4 linked regions of the Arabidopsis thaliana genome follow. The protein of the gene in region 4 purifies or fractionates together with the protein of the main gene of each other region. This does not show direct contact. Each region holds a gene or a part of one and is shown on either strand. Other genes may lie near its edges. The genes, in order: AT3G19480, Fes1A, AT2G19940 and AT4G18440.

Region 1 (4,429 bases), on a different chromosome or scaffold from region 4:
TCTTATGTTCCAAGTCTAGTGCAACTTAATTAGTCGACCATCTATTCCTTGCTTACTTTTTTTCTTCCTCTTTTGTCATCTTCTTTGAACAAGATCATTATTTGTTAGTCAATAACATATTAACTTGTTTCTCATACTTGTTTTTGTTTGCCATATATATTTGAATTCGTTTCCAAATGGTGCACACGCTCCTTCCCCTGCAGCTAATCGTTTGTTACTTTCAGTCCCCTTAAGTTGGAGCAAACTGTATGCTTCTTGGTTGGCATTCTCCGCGAAAGCATGCATCGTTTCTTCCAAGAGTCTTTAGGTATTGATAGTTCATCGTTTTCTTTTTCTATTGTAACACAGTAGCAGTTAAAGATAAGTCGAACGGGTGATCTTTTTGTTCATTAGACAAAACTAGAGAGGTTTCTCTTCTCTTTCTTCTAGTAAGGAACAAGGCTAAGGTTAATAGATAGCTAGCTATCTGAGATATCTCACAAAAGCTTTCACTATGGCCCTGTACTATATCAACTTCATATTTTAGGTGTTTCATATTTCAGATAAAATGTGCTCATATCTTCTTCCTCTTTGTTCAGCGTCTTCTGCAAAAGTGATATAGATCTTGACATGCTGCTAAAATACCTCTTGATATATTTAGTTTTTCTTACCAATTTAAGTTATAGCATAATCCTTTTATCATGTTAGTTATTGTTCTATCCTAATTGTCTAGCATGGAGTAGAATGATTTTGAAGCAGGGACTTGTAGAACGATTTTTCGTGTGCCACAGGTTTACTCCCTTCCTTAATGTGGTGACCAGCGCTTGTCCTTGTGGTCTGTCCACTCATTCTGCTATCTTTCAACGAATATCACAAAATAATAGTGGTTAGTATGTCTCATATGATTACCTTAAATTTAGCGGCTACTGACTGATGAATCATGAGGCTTTACGCTACTACTATTTCTCTTGTGTTCCACAAGGCGTTTCCAATACTTGGTGATATCCTCCAACGACATCTGCCTAGTATTTTGACCTTGCCAGTTGCCAAATCAATTAATAAACCCTTCACCAGAAGATTCTTACTACATCAAACAATAAATAAAACTAAAGTTTGACTGGAAGAAGAGTTTTGGAACGTTAGACAAATTTTCAGCATTTGACGATATGAAAGATGTCTAAATCTAAAGAAACAGAGATACAATTCTTTCAATATTATATACTTGCTAACTATCAAGAACAGGCATGAAAAAATAAAAATATTAAAAAAAAATACATATTACTATATAGAATTCATATGTCATCGATAACTTTTACATTATTTTTTACAATCCGCCTTACTTAAACGCGCCTTATCTAATAGATATATAAATGTATCTCTATTTATATTATAATTTAATTTAAAATCAATATAAAAAAATGTGTTTTTTCAATTTTTAAACCACATAACCTAATAGTATAATATTTGATATATTATTATTTTGTTTTAAGAATGTAGTATATTTGTATTTTATTAGCAAAACCATTATTAAATTGTAACTTTTTTTTCTTCTATATAAAGTTTCAAAATCCACTTAAGAAGTGAAGATATAAGTGAACAAAGGATGTAGCGTAATCTAGCACAACATATTTAAACCTCACAAAACCCACCCGAAAGATGAACCCATATCTCTCTACTCTGTTGCTGACGATACATACACCTTTACTTACATTATATTCCCGCCATCGCGATGGCGACGTCTCTGAATCTATCATCGATCTTCTCCTCCTCCTCAAGGCTCGTCACCACTCCCTCCTCTGTTTTTCCCATCCGTCAGAGGCGACGGATCATCCTCGTTACGTCTTCTTCTTCCGGAGGTGGAGGAAAACCGACGATTCTCGTAACGGAGAAGCTAGGCCAAGCGGGGATCGATCTGCTTAAGAAGTACGCTAATGTGGATTGCTCTTATGATCTGAGTCTCGAGGAGCTTTGTACGAAGATCTCTCTTTGTGATGCGCTCATCGTCAGGAGTGGTACCAAGGTTGGGAGAGATGTGTTTGAATCGTCGCGTGGGAGGCTTAAGGTTGTTGGACGCGCTGGTGTTGGGATTGATAACGTCGATTTGGCGGCGGCGACTGAGTATGGGTGTTTGGTTGTTAATGCTCCGACTGCGAACACTGTGGCTGCTGCTGAACACGGAATTGCGCTTTTGACCGCCATGGCTAGAAACATTGCTCAAGCTGATGCTTCTATCAAAGCTGGTGAGTGTTTTAAACGGTTGTTGAATTTGAATAGCGATTTGAGAAATTGCGATGTGAAATGTAGAAATGTGGTTGTTTGTAGGCAAATGGACGAGAAACAAGTATGTAGGTGTTTCACTTGTGGGGAAGACTCTTGCTGTTCTTGGTTTTGGTAAAGTTGGATCAGAGGTTGCTAGACGAGCCAGGGGACTTGGTATGCATGTCATTACACATGATCCTTATGCACCAGCGGATCGTGCACGAGCTATTGGTGTGGAGCTTGTTAGTTTTGAAGTAGCTATTTCAACTGCTGACTTCATCTCTTTGCATCTGCCTCTTACTGCTGCTACTTCGAAGATGATGAATGATGTGACCTTTGCGATGATGAAGAAAGGAGTCCGTATTGTTAATGTTGCTCGTGGTGGAGTTATTGATGAGGAAGCTCTTTTGAGAGCGCTTGACTCGGGTATTGTTGCTCAGGCAGCTCTTGATGTTTTTACAGTAGAGCCACCTGTTAAAGATAATAAGTTGGTGTTACATGAGAGTGTCACTGCCACACCTCATCTTGGTGCTAGTACTATGGAGGCTCAGGTATTACATACTGTATATTCGTTTTGCCTTTAGTGCATTTTGTTCTGCTCTCCTGAAACCTTTACTTGACGCCTAGGAAGGAGTGTCTATCGAAGTCGCAGAAGCTGTTATTGGAGCTTTGAGAGGAGAACTTGCTGCTACCGCGGTCAATGCACCAATGGTTCCACTAGAGGTAATTTCAGACTTCACTATAGAGTCCTTAATTCAGGATCAAGTTTCATTCTTCTAGTTCTTGGTGATATTGCAAGTAGTGATAATGATTTGTCCTGCAAATTCTCTGACACTGTTCAGTTGCTATCTGTTTTCAGGTATTGAGGGAGCTGAAGCCGTATGTTGTACTTGCTGAGAAGCTTGGGAGGCTGGCTGTACAATTGGTAACTGGTGGAAGCGGTGTGAATGCTGTGAAAGTGACTTATGCTTCTTCCAGAGCTCCTGATGATCTCGACACTAGACTTCTCCGAGCCATGGTCATAAAGGGGATCATCGAACCCATTTCCAGCGTATTCATAAATCTGGTTAACTCCGATTATATTGCCAAACAACGTGGAGTCAAAATCTCAGAAGAACGTATGGTTCTAGACGGCTCACCTGAGAATCCAATTGAATACATAACTGTTCGGATAGCAAACGTGGAATCAAGATTTGCCAGCGCTTTATCAGAGTCCGGTGAGATCAAAGTAGAAGGCAGAGTGAAACAAGGGGTTCCAAGTCTTACCAAAGTCGGATTATTTGGAGTGGATGTGAGTTTAGAAGGGAGTGTGATTCTGTGCAGGCAAGTAGATCAGCCTGGGATGATCGGTAAAGTTGCTAGCATCTTAGGAGATGAAAACGTCAACGTGAGCTTCATGAGCGTCGGTCGAATCGCTCCAGGCAAGCAAGCTGTGATGGCAATTGGAGTAGATGAACAACCAAGCAAAGAAACTTTGAAGAAAATCGGAGACATTCCTGCCATTGAAGAGTTTGTTTTCCTCAAACTATAGGTTAATACTTTACATGGATGCACATAAGAAAAAACTCAGAGATCGATATAATCTTAAATGATGATTTATTCTGTACTAATGATACAATCGAGTGTACATGAAACAAATTACATAGTTGATTTTTTCCAAAGCGGCATGTCGACGAAGTGATGTGTTATTGTTGCAGCCAGCCAGGGATTTTTTCTTGTTTTCTCAGAGAGAAGAAATACAGAGATTGATGGAGCCTATGAACCAGTGAGAAATGGGATCTGAGCCACAGTTGTTGGGATCTCGAAATGAAGATTATGAACGGCCAGATAAGCTGCGATACCAGCAGCATAGCCAGCAAAAGCAAAACCACTAACCTGCATGGAGAAAAAAAAAAAAAACTGAGTTTCTTGCGCAGAGCCACAAGAGTATTGAGTTTCAGTCTGGTTAATGCAATGTTGTGTTGTTGATCGTTAGACAAGCCGGAAGAATGTATCTTACCTTTCGGAAATACCAAAAGAAATCGACTTTCTCCATCCCCATGAAGGCTACACCAGCAGCAGAACCAATGACAAGCATCGAACCACCAGTGCCGGCACAGAATGCAATGAGCTGCCAAAATTCAGAATCTTGAGGGAACGATGTGAGATCATACATCCCCATAGTCGCTGCAACCAGTGGAACATTGTCTAT
Region 2 (4,637 bases), on a different chromosome or scaffold from region 4:
TACAATGCACCATCATAAGGGCGTATTCCGGGAACATTCTTCACGCAATGGTTACACCATACCATAACTCCTTCACTCAAAAAGCTCCTACCTTAGCTTCTAATATCGATCCGAAACTCAGATTCGAGGCTTGAATCGATTCGAAACAACAGCTTCCAATCTTACTGCTCAATAGAAAGAAGATCAGACTATTTATAGCGAAAGTAACTGTTTTCACACAATCGTGCGAGGAAGTGGAAAGAATCAGGGTTTGATGAGATTATCTAGTTCACTGTAATTGTATCTATATAACAATACCGGAGTTGGCCGTGACGGCGACGACGGTGTTGAAGGCGAAGCTGAGAGACGTGACGAGAGATTTCTCCGATATGTGAGACTGCCTTGATTCGAACTCTGTCCCTTTAGGGATTGCAAAGTAATTGTGACGTTCGCTTTGGTTTTGTTCTTCGGTTCACCGCAATTCAAAGTTACCAATTTTAACCGATCAATTAGATCGGGTCCGTATTAGCTGTTGCTAAACCGAAATCGTATAGAACACTTGTTGAATTGAAAAAGCATTGAAGCTGAATATTCTTAATCTCAACAATAACAAGACTAAAGATCTCGAATGATGAAAACAAAAATTAACATAACATAGCCCTTGATCATTGACATAATACATATATCTATGAAACTTTTCTGACAATTTGAAAAGTTACAAAACATAAAAAACAAGGAAAAGTAATAAAAAGTTTTAGCTTTGATTTCTCGTCTATGGTCCAAGTAGTTTCATAGGTTCATCTTTCTTCTCAGTAGCATTACGGTTTGCTGCAGAAGCTCTAAGAGGAGGCTCAAAGAGCTTGCTAGCGACATCAGGAGGCAATGCGTCTTCACCGGGAAGAACGACAAGTCCTTTTTCTCTCAGAGAAGAAGGTTCATTGTAGCAAATGCTCCACAGTAAATCCACGAGCTGTCTCTCTTCTTTAACCGTTTCAAGATCCTCTTGTGACATCAAGGTGATTCCTTTGATCCGTTCTTCTAGTAGCTGCCTCAGTTTCTCATCGCTTTTATCTATGCTGCTACTTCCATCGTTTTTCTCTCTTGAAAGCTCAAGTAATCCACGAAGAGCGGCTTCTCTGATCTCAGCATCGTCACTAGAGGCAAGATGCATCATCACTCGGGGGAATCCAAGTCCAGTGGCAATACTGCGGTCTGAATCATCCTCTTGCAGTAGATATTGCAACAAGTTTAAGGCTTTCCTGGAGAATTTGAATAAAGAAAATGAGCAACAATTCAAGAATCTTCCACGATTTTATATCCGCAGATGATAAGAATATTTGTGTGGGTTACCTTTGAAATCTCACACTATCAGATGCCAAGGCGTCTCTTAGGCCAGCATAACCATTGGCAAGCTTGAAAGCCGTTACTCCTGGTTTGTTATGGCGAATCAAAGCTACATCCCATATTGAAAAGATAAGTCTCTTTTAGTATCACAAACCAAGTAAAATAGAAATCACAAAAGCTTTTGATCATCTCAATCTTTACTAAAAATGAACTATCAGAAGCAGGCTTACATGATATTGCGCCAAGAGCCTGGGTTCGAGCGTGAATATCAGTGTCTGAAGTGAAATTCGAGAGCAATGACTCCAGAGCATTGGTTTCCATAACAAGTTCCTGACTTCTAGGATTGTTCTGAACTATTGTGCTAACGACATCCGCAGCTTTTGCCCGAATATTAGCATGAGAGTTTTTAAGGAAACTAAGAAGAGGAACCAAGCCTCCAATTGAATGAAGATCTACACAATAGTAAGTAAACAAGTTGTTACAAGCAATGTTCAAATTGAGCTAACCAGAACAGGAAAGAAAAAAAAAAAAAAAAAAAAAGCAAAGTCCAAGTTAGAGATAATGTACCGTTAGCCATATCGATCGATTCAACGTGCTCTTGCAGCTCATCCAGCAAATCTACCAGAATAATAAACTCAATTAGTACCCTACACACAATGGCAAAAGATAAAGATCTAAGCTATGTATTATAGCCACAAATTACGCACCTTGGATATCTTCAGGTGTTACTCCATGTTCCACCAAAACTTGTTCAGGTGTTTGCATAACTAGTGTAATCTCCTTCATGCGTTTGACTACATCTACAGTCTGCGATTGCATAGCCTCCATAAACCATTTTCGATCCTCCTCACTGTCTCATTAAAACAACTCAAATCAACAAAACAATCCACAATAAAACACATACAGAATGATTTGACATGAACAAATCGTGAATTCCCTTAAAAAAAATTAACAGAGTTTCATGTAAAAACGAGAAAATAGATAACCTTTCACCTACATAACAGCAGAATTCGATAATTGAATCTTAACCAAACCGATGAACTGAACAGATATCTTCAAAAAAGAAAACTACTTTAAACAAACCCAGATTCGAATTCACTCATAAGATTCATCTCCTCAAGTGAAAGCTCAATCATAGCCACACAGATACCTAAACTACCCACCAAGCATCCCATCAGTTTCAGACAAATCAAAAGACAGAACCTAAAAAACCAACTACAAGATGAATGTCCGTACCTCAACTGGCGAGTGGGTCGAGTACCGTCGGCGTGAGAGAGACTCCACTTAAGCAAACCATCCCAATTAGGTCCGTCTTTCGCCATTGAAGAATTACTTTCACAGTGAAAAGAACTTGTAACAGAAGAAGAAATTACAAAACTCGAAGCCTTTTCGTCTTTGTAATAATAAAGAGGAAGAGTCGGCTAATCGCTAGTTTGGTTTTATAGAAGACCTGAGATTATTCGCGAAGCTACTACAACATTCTTAAAAATCTTAAACCTCGTCGACGACCTCTCAAGGGAAAAGGAAAAGCGAAGACGATGACGCCTCCTCCACAAATTGGGCCTTTAAGACTCAAGCCCAAATAGTTCAGTATTATTGGGCTTAAATTAGCTCGATAAGCCTTTCTTGAATTTACCTTTTTTTCTTTAATTTATTGGCAAATCTATGCCACGCATGTACCTTTTGACTTTGGACCTTTTAAACATGTGAACGTTACCTTCCACTCTAAATTTAACGACCAGTCGACCAGAATTTAATTCGTTACATATGATCAAGTAGTATCAATGGACTAATACAAAGTGTTTTTTTCCTAAGACTAATACAAAGTTGACAGACGTCAGACGTGACAACACATCGAACTCAATACCGAGTCTCTTCGTCGTCTCTTTATATTTCTTCCAATATTCATTTCACTTCTCTGTTCCCTCCTTTTTTTCCTGTTTCGTTTGTTCTGTCCTGGAATCTGTTACTTGCTCTGATTTAACTCTGTTTTGAAGCAGAGACGACGAAGATGGATCTTGAGGAGCAAGAAAGGGACATATTGATTCAGACAGATGACGATGACTGCCATGTCGATGTCTCATATGTTAATGACGACGATGATTCCAATGCATCTTTTTCATTATCCCAGAATGATTCCGCTTTCTGGCCTCAGAGTTATAGGTAAAATAAAATACTTTGTTTTTCGATATCTAACGAAATTATTTGAAGTGTTTGTGAAGATTCTTCCTTCTTTTTTTCATGTAAAATTCAGACACTCTGTGGATCTCTTGACCGGAGTTACACCTCCTATGGTCAGTTTCATACAAGGGAGAAGTACTGAGACATCATTCAGTAGCTCCATCGCTTCCTTATACAAGAGACGTCCAACCTCTATTGCAAATTCGTTTGTGTCTTCCACAAGCAAACAACCGCTGCTCTCTGAGAAAGACGATGTATCATTCCTTTCATCTCAGGTCGGGTTATCCAACACCGATCTCTCGTATGGAGAACCAAATTTCTGCTCGTTTCCCCAATCTGTTCTAAATGGTAAGACGTAGTAGTATCGATATTGATTCTGTCTCAAAAGTCTTTAGGGTTTAGGCATTCGGTTCGGTTGAATAGATTTTATCGTCATAACAAAAAGAAAAGTTTCAATCTCTCTTTAAGTTGAACCTATTTTTGGTGAAGGAATCAATGTCCTTTGTGGAATAAGTCTACTCACAATGCCTTACGCGGTGAAAGAAGGAGGATGGCTCGGGCTTTGTATACTCTTATCCTTTGCTATCATCACTTGCTACACCGGTATCCTCCTCAAACGATGTCTTGAGAGCTCTTCTGATCTCCGTACCTACCCGGACATTGGTCAAGCTGCCTTTGGATTTACAGGCCGCCTCATCATCTCCGTGAGTTATATGGAAATGATTTACATATATACTTCACATATCTCCAAACTAATATATAGGGTTCTTGATCTCTTTTGAGAGTTGCAGATACTTCTGTACATGGAGTTATACGTATGTTGTGTGGAGTATATAATCATGATGAGCGATAATTTATCGAGAGTTTTCCCCAACATTACATTAAACATCGTTGGAGTATCTCTAGATTCTCCTCAGATCTTTGCTATATCAGCTACTCTTATTGTTCTTCCTACAGTTTGGCTCAAAGACCTTAGCTTACTCTCCTATCTCTCAGGTTCCATTTTCTATCATAAGATCCTTCCAATATAGCTTCGAGATTCGTTCATATATTCTTTAATATGTGTGTTCCATTCTTTTAGCCGGAGGAGTCTTTGTTTCGATCTTGCTTGCTCTTTGTCTCTTCTGGGTTGG
Region 3 (5,674 bases), on a different chromosome or scaffold from region 4:
AGGGCCACTAGGTTCCTTTGGCGGTACCCAATAGCACGGATGTTCCTACTTTTTTACCTTGTAAGGCGCTCGCTTATTTCAATCTCATTCGCCTTACTTGTGAATTTATGGAACATTAAGCTGACATCATTTATGAATTTGCAGGTCTTTGTTCATCTCTTCTTGATGTATCTAATACACCGACTCCAGGTATGCTTGGTCATTTTACATTGAAAATCACATCACAGTCATGGAACTCAACTTGTTGTCGTTCCTAAATCTCGTGTAGGAGCAAGCCGAGGCCCAGGAAGTTGCGGCAATGACCAACAACGTTTTCAGACTATAACAGATTCCATAAGAAAGCAACACATGGTGGTTTTAAGAGATTGCTGAGTAATGTGGAAGAAAGAAGCATAACTATGGATTATAGAGAAGACTTTTAAAACTTTATATATATAGAGGCTGCTTCTTACGATATTCCAATCTAACCTGTTGGTATGTGAAGAACATAATGTTGGTAAATGGGGTTTATACACACTTGATTGATAGGCATGGTTGGTTTTAAAAGCATTTGAATATATATCTGTTGAGCCTATTAAAGTTCGGTTTACTTATTTTCTCTGACGCCCGAACTCGGTTTAGTTTTGGTCACCCTAAGCTGAATATGTATTTTGGCCACCGCCACATCCAACAATCTGTAATAGAATAAGTTCAACTTTCTTTTGTGACTCAAACGAAAATTGCAATTCAGAAAATAGAGATAACAAGAATAAAGGTTCATCAAAACCTTAATAAACAAACAACAAAACCATTTATTTGTAATGGTAAAAGAAGAGGCTTTATTGTCTATAAATATGAATCATATAACCAACCATCTTTATGCTTAACATTGCCGTCTCAACAGCTTCAGATTGGTCATCTGAAGATAGGAATAAAGACAAACGCTTAAGCAGGCAAATCTAATGACAGAAATATCTTCAAGATACAGAGCCAACAAGAGAGAAGAATGCTATTTTACCGATTTAAAGGTGGGATTTTTAAGGGAAAAGCGGCTGGTGTAGGAGCCCCGTTGTTTCGGGATATCCCAACATTATGTTAAGATTCTGCAACGCTTGTCCCGAAGCTCCTTTCACAAGATTATCAATCTGCAACACCAGAGAGCTTTTTATACACAAAGCAATATTGTCGAAAGCTAAAGATGAGTTTATAACAGAGGATGGTTATGCTTAATTACCACTGAGATTATGATAGCTCTTCCAGGAATTCGATCAGGAAAGACACTCATATGACAATAGTTGGATCCTCTAACGTTGTGTGTCCGAGGAACAACTCCTTCATCCAACACTTTGACAAATTCTTCATCCTACAAAACATTTTTGAAACATAATAAGTAACAAAAGTAGTAATTGGCTTACAACATAAGAGTAATCATCACCTCATAAGACGTCTTCAATTGCTGGTGTAAATCTTCGGTTCTAACCCCGGGAGCCATTTCCACATATATAGTCGATTGCATTCCACGGATCTACCCAAACAACTGAGGATCAGTTAATGGGTTTAAGGTTAAAAATTATAGAAATCATGCTAAGATTATTTGTACCATTGGCATGAGATGTGGCGTAAAACTGACTGTTACTTTTGACTGTGCAACATCAGATAATCCCTGTTCAATTTCAGGAACTGCAAAACAAAAGAGATATTGAATTCAAATCATGGCAAAATTTTAACTCATTGTGATAATTAGTTTGTGACATACCATGGCGATGACGGGTGACACCATAAGAAGAAATGCCTTCAGCTATCTCAGAGTAAAGATTTGCCTCCTTAGCACCACGTCCTGATGAAAATTTCATATCAGTCAAGAAACTAGAAACATTGCATCATTGTTCATTGATCACGGAGTAAGCTCAAACCTGCTCCACTAACACCAGATTTTGCATCGATAATGATGTTTTCATGTTTGATGAGATTTGCCTGCACCAAAATCAACACATTGAGTAGAGAGACGGAAGACTAGGCAGTTAAGTAAAATCGCATACCAGAAAAGAATAGAAAAACAAACCTTTAGTAAAGGAACAAGAGGAAGTTGAATCGTAGTCGGGTAACAGCCTGGGTTAGCCACAAGTCGTGCCTTTTTTATGTCCTCCCTTAGTATCTCTGTTAGACCATACACAACTTCTTTCTGAACCCCGTAGGACACTTGGTAAGTATAACCATTATGAACACAACAGACCTAAAATCAAGGAATAACATTGAGAGAAATGTACCTGTAACTCTACTGCCTTGTGAGGCTGACCATACCATTCTTCATATTCTGCAATATTACGCAACCGGAAGTCCTGAAAAGCGTATTTTAGATGGGCTTATAACTGAAAGAAAAGGAACAAAAAAAAAACAGTTCTTCAAGGATTACCGCTGAAAGATCAACGATTTTCAATGCAGTAGGCAGTTCCTTGATGATTTCCTGTTGAAATACACACTCATTTCCGTTAAGCTAAGAAAAGCTTTAAGAAATTGAAATGGAAGAATGAAAGGAAAATGAACCTGAGTTGTTCCGTGAGGTAAACAGCAGAATACAGCATCCACAGTAGAAAAATCTGCATCCTTTACCGAGACCAAAGTAGGTAGTTTCTGTGGACAGTAAAGGTTCAATTATTAATCAATATACACCATCACAAAGTAACATTGAACAGATTCATTTCTTGGTATATTACTAGGGATAGAAATCACTTATACTTGAGCTCTCAGGTGTGGGAAAACGCTTTCCATTGACTGGCCAGCTTTTCTATCAGCAGTCATCAAAGTGACCTGGAAATGCGGATGATTTGCAAGAAGCCTAACGATCTGCAATTCAATAAAGAAGAGTAAACTTACCATCTCATGGGTTTGAATGAAACCTTGAATGCCTCATCCATTCTTTCCCTTGTAATTTTAAACAACTTTAAAGCAACGACTATAAGACTTTTCTCTTCCTTTTATCGAGAAAAGATTAACTTTGCATATGTTTACAGCTTAAGCTAAATTAGAAGGCCAATACCCAAAAAGTCAAAAACTTGCAACAAGATGCATACCACTTAAGCTCTGATTCATTGCAAAACCAAAGAGATCACTAAAACAAACAATTCCAAGAAAATTAAACTTGAAACAGACAGATTCAACATTGCACAAACCTCAGCACCAGTGTAGCCACTTGCACCAAGAAGACCAATCCTAATATCCTTTTCAGGTTTAACAGAACTACTAGCTGAAACTCTGAAGCTCATTGAAGATGGCGAAGCCACATGGGATCCCAAAGTAAGCCTCTTGGCTCGCTTATCCGCTACACAATTTTCCTTTCGCCCTTTTCAAAACAAAGAAAACCCACATTTACATGATTATCAGATTGCAATAACACAACACAAGCTACAATGAGCTTGAATGTGGATTCAGTGGGAAAAAAAACAGAGATTTTGAAGAGTTTTAGGAATTGACCTTGAACCAGCATCCTTGGATTGAACTAAAAGCCGACGCAGTACTCATTATTGGATTCGATTCTGCAAAAAACAAAATTCAGGAACAAAAAAAGACTAATCTTTTTGCTAAGAACAAGAAGAAATTAGCTTCTCTCAATGTGATTTGATATTGAGAGTCAATTATGGTAGTGATGAAACAAATACCCGTAAACTCTTCGTCACTCTCTCTCTCTATACGAAGTGGTCGGAGAAGTTCGACGGAGAAGAAGACAGCAGAAAACCACGACAAAGATTGTGGGACGAAAACGCAAGAACGACGACGTTTCAGCTAGCCCTACTTAAAACCTATCAAAGCGGTGCCGTTTCAGGGATCGAACCCGTTTACTGAACAGGCTACCCGTGGTTCAACCCGGTTTATCGACGAATTAATCGTTTGCAGAAAACGCGATATGTCTTGGCGTTTGCATCGGGTGACGACAAAAATCTGGCATTTTGGTAATTCCCAGACTAAGAGTAAAGGCATTCATGTCAATTACTTGAGTAAGCGCCGAAGCGGTTAGATGAATTTGTTTCAATGGAGTCAAAAGAAAATCTAGAGAAAAAGCTCCGACCTTTTTATTTCCTCTCTGTTTCTTCTTGTGTCATCGTCAAATCAAATCCAATCACTAACAGTAGAAACTGTTTCTCTACTGGGTATTTTTTTTTGGCAACCCTTAAATTCTGAAGTAAGAGAGAAGAAGAAGAAAGTGTGAGATTCCGACGAACGGGAAGAAAAATGATAAATTTTCGCAGCATGAATCAAGCTTCTTCGAGGATAAGGATCGCTCTTTCGGGTCGGATTGAAACAGCTTTAGAGAATATCTACAGAAAACACAATCTTACTCCGATTAATGATGAGACGAGACAGAGACTGTCTTCGATTCCTGAGAATTTGGGTTTTGAGTTGGTCAGGAAAGTTTTTAGTTTGCAGGCTGGTTTGATATACAACCTCGACAGCTTCATCGTTTCTAAGGTTAACCAAGCCGTTAGTTTTACTGGCTATCCACAGCCGGCGAACTCTCTTAGCCCCTCTGGAAGACACGTGTCCAGGGTTCTTCAAGGTTAGTATCAGAAACAAACTCTCTTTGCTTGTGAAAATGTGAATTTGGATAGTAAAAATCTTTACTTTTCTTATGATTGTTGGCGATTGCAGAAGAGATGTCTGTTGATTCTGATGCTCCTTCTCCTAAGTCTTTGAAAAGTGAAGACAAAGGAGGATCTCTGCACATTCCCCAGCTGGTAGCTTTGGGTGAACTTGAATTTAAGAAGGTGTTTTTGTTACTTAGCTATATTCCAGGGTAATGTTTGTTATGCAAGTTTCCCAATTTCTTACATCTCTATATTCTCTTATCCACCTATTGTAATTGTTTGGTTTTGATGGTGACAATTACCTCTTTTGGTGATGCTTAACTTTTTCTTTATTTGATGTTATACAGGCAACATGTGGGCCAGGTTATAACTGCTGATGAGATTAGACTGTGGAAAGATTTGCCAATGGTTGAATATGAAGCAGCGGTTTGGGACCGCTTGGGCCGGCATTATTGTCCCCAAAAGGACCGAAGAATGGTATTGTTCTATTCTATTGGGTTTTGTTTATATTTTCATGTTTGCGTTTCTGAAGGTAATTTTACAAGAAGTTGAGTTTGGTATCAAAGTTGTATTAACTGCATTTTCTATCATGCTTCATTTCCCCAGTTGCAATGGGATAGCGGGAAGACCCATTACTATCAGTGTAATGTTGCTCCCAATGGTAGCTACACATTCAAGGTTCTTTCAGCTCTTCAAGTACTATCTTTTCTGTTTGCTTTTTCCATTAGGCATATGTACTTTGTGTAATATTTTTGATTCAAGCTGTAGAAGAAATTCTTTGTAAGTCGCTATCATATGTCTATAAAACAATTGATATGTCTATCAAACATTGCACCTTGACATTGACTCAATATACTTATCGACACACTGTGTTCACAGGGCCCTCTTCTTGAACACACTGGAACACACTTGCACAAGGTCTTGGGTGATGATAATGTTTTAACCGTCAAATTCGCGGATGTCCAGAAAAGTTCATCAACATATAGCATTGACCATTACTTTACATACAAAGGGATTGCCAAGAACGGTATCATGATTGGTTTACGTCGTTATCAATTTTTTGGTGGGCATTGTTTTCCCTTTTTCTCTTGATTAACTACCATTTATGTCGTTAC
Region 4 (5,383 bases):
AGAACAATATACACTTGCAGGAAAAAACAATATTATTATGTCTTCAATTCAATAATTCAATTTATAGCTTTTCTCAAATAAAATCACAGGGAAATTTGTTCATAAATAAAATTATAGCAATGTGTAGGAAGATATCTAGGTAAAAGATTTTTTATGGTATATTGTCATGAAATTTTCCATTTCTATTTTTAACTTCTAAGGATTTTTTTTATATGACACTAAATATAGTGTAGAGTTGAGATTATTGTTGGACACATGTACTAGACTTTTAGTAATAGATCAAGTCTAAAGGAAACTAGTAAGTTTGTTTTTGAGATAGATCTTATATTATTTATTTTAGACCTAAAAGGCTAAAACATTTGTGTTCATGTAAATGTTAGCAATAAATAGAAGAATTACTTAAAGCTCTTAATTGACAAACAACATTTTAACATTATTATTTCTCAGTTTTGTTTCTGTGGACAATTTATTTGACTACTATATGCATATATATTTGCTAGATTTTGATACCTACATAACACTTGGTTATAAAGAAAAACAAAAACCACTCAAATTGAATTTCAACTTGAGAACTCTTTATTATTTGACACCAATGTGTATATGACCTATTTTATTACAATAATTTGTATTGGTTCGAGAATCATTGACCACAGCTTATAGCTCAAGACTTAGATAAAACACAGACACTCAAAGAGGAAACATAACACAACAATGGTACAAGATTTTTCTTAACATTTTAAACGACGACTTGCAAGTCACCGACCTATAAATTGTCTCTGTTTTCCACCAATTTCGAAAAGAATACCATAATAAAAGAGGACAATCTATCACCACTTTGATCATCATCAATGTCCCAAGTGCAGAGCTTCATCCACGGCCAGTGCCAATGCAGCAGCAGCACCAACATATGTGTGTGGAGTTAGCTCCAGAAGTTGGTCTTTTGCTTCTGAAGGCAATTCCAAACCTTTGATAAACGTTCTTATGGTTTCTTCATTCACAGCTTTTCCTCTTGTTAGCTCCTTCAGCTTCTCATACGGCTCAGGGACACCGTATCTCCTCATCACCTTTATTTGATACCATAATACTTCTGTGGATTAGAGATACATCAAATATCTTGATTGATATAGAAGATTAGAAACTCGAGAAATTTACAGTTTGTATTGGTTCAGCAAGGACTTCCCAATTATCATCCAAATCTTCTTTTAACCGAGCTTCATTAACCTATATCAAGAACATTCTTAGTTTGTGACAAGTGGAAACATTTCTTAGGGCTACGGTAATAATACCTGAAGCTTCCCGATTCCCTGTATCGCACTCTTGTAAGCGAGAAGAGAGTGTCCTAAAGCTCCACCCATGTTTCTCAAGACAGTTGAATCAGTTAAATCACGCTGCAGATTGTACATTTTTCAGGCTTAGTTTACTTCCATCACTCTAGCTGAGATACATAGAATATGGAGAAATGTTAAAACCTGCATGCGTGAAATGGGAAGCTTCATGCTGAGAAAAGTAAGCTCTGCGTTTGCTTTCCCTAGATTCCCTTCGCTGTTCTCAAAGTCAATAGGATTCACTTTGTGAGGCATTGTCGACGATCCAATTTCACCCGCTTTAGTTGTCTGCAAAATCTCAAACAATGAGACGATTTTCCCATTCAGATTCAAATGATTTGACATCTTTTTTTTTCCTTTCTTATATTAACACTTGCCTGCTTAAAGTACCCTAGAGATATGTAGCTCCATATATCTCTGTCAAAATCAATTAAAATAGTGTTGAACTGGCTGATATTATTAAAAAGTCTAGCCATATAGTCATGAGGTTCAATCTGCAAAAAAAATACACACAGAACAATCAATCAGCGATGATCTTTATGAATTTGAATAGGATTGTTTGATCAATATAAACTATATTACCTGAGTCACGTATGGGTTGAATGTTAATCCAAGAGAAGTAACAAACTCCTCGGAAACATGAGGCCAGTCAATATTCGAATATGCGGAAATATGGGCGTTGTAGTTCCCAACAGCACCTGCAAATTTCCCCTTAATCTTAGTTTCTGAAAGATATCTCCTTTCTTCGCTTAACCTCACAGCAAAATTCGCCATTTCTTTCCCCAAAGTTGTTGGCGTAGCTGGCTGCATTACAATTCATAGTAAACAAAATCATTAGTAAAGAGATAGATACAGATAAATAGGGAAAGGTAAAATGGTGAAGGTCTTCTCTTTGGACATTACCTGCCCATGAGTTCGTGAAAGCATGGGGACATAAGCAAAGTTCTTAGCTATCAGAGAGATTGACTTGATCAGCTCATCCATGGTAGGAAGTATAACCGAACTAAGTGCTTCTTGAAGCATCAAAGCATGGGAAAGATTGTTGATGTCCTCAGACGTGCAAGCGAAATGGAAAAACTCAAGAACCTAACTCAGTAAAAAGACATCCAAAATTTTAGTTACAGGGCATCAAAGCATCCAAACCCTAAGAACTTATAAGTGAGAGAAAAGAACCTAAACCTTAGCAATCTCTGGTTGTGATTCACACTTTTGTTTCAAGAAATACTCCACTGCTTTCACATCATGATTTGTTACTCTCTCAATCTTCTTAATTTCCAATGCATCGTCTATGCTAAATCCATCGATTATGCCTTGCAAGAAACTCTGAGCTTCTTTGCTAAAGCTTGGAACTTCAGTGACTTCAGGAATATTCGAAAGCTTAAGAAGCCATTTGATCTAACAAATATATAAAAATATCAAAGTTTAGGCAAATGAGTACACTAGACCAGACAACTAAACTACTCGTACAAAGAGATATAGCATGACATAACTAGTACAATCTTCTCAATCAATCAACCAATCAGATCATAACCCTTCACTTACCTCGACAAAAACTCGGAAATAGATCAATCCAAACTCGCTCAAAGAAGAAGCCAAGTCCTTAACTTTACTCCAATAACGTCCATCCAAAGGCGATAACGCCGTTAAATTCGACATCTCCAAGTCTCTAGAGCTCACTCCATCCATTGCCGTCACCTAAAGCATATCAATTTATCGCCAATTCTTATCGAAAACATCCAAACAACACATCATTTCAGCAAAACCCACAAATAAAAAACTTACCTTTGTTGAAGTCACTAGCTTGGGAGAATCAGTAGTAGTAGAAACAGAGCATGAAACTCTCGGAAGCCGATGATGTGAAGCCAAACACACTGATTTTGATGGGTTTAGGAATATTCCGGTGGGTGTAAAACCGAAAGAAGGGATTTTGGGGTGTGTTATAGCCATTGAAGAGAAATTGAGCTCCATTTTTGATATAGTGTGATCTCAAAGGTCTAAACTTTAAACCTAGATTCCAGAATCAAAGCACGATGTGAGTGAGTCACTGGAAGCTTTGCGTAACTGTACCGCCGATATATAGGGTTTTAGGAGATTCCGATTAAAAAAAAACACATGTGCATTTTTTTTCTTTCTTCCATATTTACCCTTGATGTCCCTACTTATTACGCTTATTGGAGGAGGATTATTTGTTACTTATCACCTTATCCTTTATTTTGAACACGTTTATTAATAGTTTCAAATATATGGATTAAAAATGCCTTCAAAATAATTTGGAGGGAAACTTTAATAATTTATAAATCGTCGTATTGTGAATCAAAAATGTTTGGACAATGACAAAACAATACTCATGTGTTTTATGTGTAGATTTATATCTCACTAAGAGTTTGTCATATACTGATATAACTGAAATGAACCAAAAACTGTTTATTAATACCATTTGAGGTTAGTTAGTACAATTATATGTCATGTATAAGATTAGAAATGGGTTAACAAGCGGCGGTCTCAATGGTGGCGTTAAATGACTAAATGTAAACATTTTACTATTTAGATATGATGATAAGTAGATTCACAAAAAAAAATTACGGTGTTAATTTTTTGTTAGTTTTCTCTGTTATGTCTAAACGATATTAGTTTACTGTACACTACGATGTCGTTTTATCGATTGAAAATAGACAAAATTCCTAAATCGAAACTCATTTAGCTTTTAGAGATTGAATGAGATCAAGGTGGATAAAGTAGCTTAACCTTGATCCCAAAACTCTATAGCGTCGATGGCTGGCTTTATTTCTAATTGTATCGCCGTTTATCTCTTTGGCGATTATAGGCTAACTTTTGTTCCGGTTTGATGAACTGCAACTTGAAAATTGAAAAGTTGTCTATTGAAAAAGAAAATGAAAAAAAATTACAAATTTAAATTAAGTGAAATTATTCTCATCAAGCTAAATAGTTTTTTTGGGCGAAGATTGAGATCTACCGTCTGCATTAGTTTTCTGACGATTTCAACCTGAATTGAAGCTCTCTAGTGTTAGAAGATTCTACCAGTGACGGAAACTCCATCTCCTTCAATTTCCCACGTGTCAACCCAACATGTTTCCCAATTACCACATATCCCTTGTGATATATACAACAACTTTCTCTTCAGACAAAGTTCTTTAAACTGGCTGTTGGGCCTTTGCCCATGTATGTTTTATATTTGGCATGTTAAATTGGCGTTGTAGTATGTAGTATGAATAAAAACACACTTGTGACAGAAAAATAGATTAACGTTTTTTTTTGTGAAAAATGTAAAATAAATAAATAATCTTGACATATAATTATACAATATATACATGTCTATATATGTATACCTATCAAATTAGCAACGGTAGTTTTCAATGTATTTCTGTCAAAAAGAAGATAATAACGTCTCCAAATAATCACTTCCCAAATCCTCAAACTCAAACAAACCAAACACATCACATACTGTCTCTTCTCCAGTAACCGTCTTCTGCATTTCAACTTCTTGACACATAGAATCTTCATTACTCCTTCGTCTCTTTCTTAAATCGAACCAAGTTTCTTCACTCCCACGCAAACCACGAGTCTCCGAGTGCTCCTTAGTTGAACAATAGCTAAGGGCACAATGGTTTTCAACCATCCCATCAACGACTTCATCATAAGCCTTAACCGCCTCTTTTCCTGTTCTCAATCCGATTTTGCGGCTGCTTCTTAATGGATCGGACGTATTTGAGTTGTTCATCCGGTAGTAGTTTGGGTTGCAATCCATTTCCATAGCTTTTATAACTGTTTCGAGCTGAAAATTTGTGTGAGCTTTTTGAGTACCTCTAATTCTAACCGCGGCTTTATCGTAAGCCATAGCTGCTTCCTCTGCAGTTTGGAACGTTCCGAGCCAAACCCTAACACCGTTTCTCGTCGAATCCCTGATTTCGGCTGCAAATTTCCCCCACGGACGCTTCCGTACTCCCCTGTATTTTCTTGTTTTGCAAGAAACCCGAGAAGACAAAGAACATGAATCAATGGTAGGGTTGGTTAATGGATCATGATTGGTTTTGTTTGGG

Evidence for each region.
Region 1: the proteins of AT4G18440 (region 4) and AT3G19480 fractionate together in Arabidopsis thaliana (co-fractionation; one large-scale study listed by BioGRID). This does not show direct contact.
Region 2: the proteins of AT4G18440 (region 4) and Fes1A fractionate together in Arabidopsis thaliana (co-fractionation; one large-scale study listed by BioGRID). This does not show direct contact.
Region 3: the proteins of AT4G18440 (region 4) and AT2G19940 fractionate together in Arabidopsis thaliana (co-fractionation; one large-scale study listed by BioGRID). This does not show direct contact.

What each region holds. Positions count from the first base shown.
Region 1 is NC_003074.8:6,750,882-6,755,310, forward strand, and holds AT3G19480 (D-3-phosphoglycerate dehydrogenase), read left to right. Parts: upstream 1-1,540; 5' UTR 1,541-1,708; coding exon 1,709-2,219; intron 2,220-2,301; coding exon 2,302-2,789; intron 2,790-2,865; coding exon 2,866-2,961; intron 2,962-3,097; coding exon 3,098-3,769; 3' UTR 3,770-3,904; downstream 3,905-4,429. Other genes in the region: AT3G19470 (F-box and associated interaction domains-containing protein), read left to right, coding at 1-33; NHD1 (sodium:hydrogen antiporter 1), read right to left, coding at 3,994-4,113, 4,238-4,429. UniProt on the Arabidopsis thaliana protein: Involved in the plastidial phosphorylated pathway of serine biosynthesis (PPSB).
Region 2 is NC_003074.8:2,869,224-2,873,860, reverse strand, and holds Fes1A (Fes1A), read right to left. Parts: upstream 2,892-4,637; 5' UTR 2,646-2,891; coding exon 2,560-2,645; intron 2,474-2,559; exon of another isoform or gene 2,174-2,473; coding exon 2,031-2,173; intron 1,942-2,030; coding exon 1,891-1,941; intron 1,776-1,890; coding exon 1,554-1,775; intron 1,433-1,553; coding exon 1,330-1,432; intron 1,239-1,329; coding exon 752-1,238; 3' UTR 529-751; downstream 1-528. Other genes in the region: AT3G09360 (Cyclin/Brf1-like TBP-binding protein), read right to left, coding at 4-65; AT3G09340 (Transmembrane amino acid transporter family protein), read left to right, coding at 3,335-3,486, 3,578-3,852, 3,994-4,208, 4,296-4,500, 4,586-4,637.
Region 3 is NC_003071.7:8,610,992-8,616,665, reverse strand, and holds AT2G19940 (Putative N-acetyl-gamma-glutamyl-phosphate reductase), read right to left. Parts: upstream 3,741-5,674; 5' UTR 3,636-3,740; intron 3,633-3,635; exon of another isoform or gene 3,513-3,632; 5' UTR 3,499-3,512; coding exon of another isoform or gene 3,464-3,498; coding exon 3,451-3,463; intron 3,320-3,450; coding exon 3,150-3,319; intron 2,824-3,149; coding exon 2,716-2,823; intron 2,611-2,715; coding exon 2,524-2,610; intron 2,444-2,523; coding exon 2,393-2,443; intron 2,319-2,392; coding exon 2,247-2,318; intron 2,162-2,246; coding exon 2,042-2,161; intron 1,954-2,041; coding exon 1,893-1,953; intron 1,817-1,892; coding exon 1,736-1,816; intron 1,660-1,735; coding exon 1,580-1,659; intron 1,505-1,579; coding exon 1,415-1,504; intron 1,343-1,414; coding exon 1,214-1,342; intron 1,125-1,213; coding exon 1,017-1,124; 3' UTR 549-1,016; downstream 1-548. Other genes in the region: GC1 (golgin Putative 1), read left to right, coding at 1-60, 145-189, 269-325; AT2G19930 (RNA-dependent RNA polymerase family protein), read left to right, coding at 4,207-4,531, 4,624-4,768, 4,907-5,036, 5,166-5,237, 5,439-5,622.
Region 4 is NC_003075.7:10,185,540-10,190,922, forward strand, and holds AT4G18440 (L-Aspartase-like family protein), read right to left. Parts: upstream 3,443-5,383; 5' UTR 3,294-3,442; coding exon 3,108-3,293; intron 3,021-3,107; coding exon 2,868-3,020; intron 2,721-2,867; coding exon 2,505-2,720; intron 2,412-2,504; coding exon 2,229-2,411; intron 2,130-2,228; coding exon 1,908-2,129; intron 1,820-1,907; coding exon 1,703-1,819; intron 1,614-1,702; coding exon 1,470-1,613; intron 1,389-1,469; coding exon 1,287-1,388; intron 1,222-1,286; coding exon 1,153-1,221; intron 1,065-1,152; coding exon 846-1,064; 3' UTR 534-845; downstream 1-533. Other genes in the region: AT4G18450 (Integrase-type DNA-binding superfamily protein), read right to left, coding at 4,711-5,383.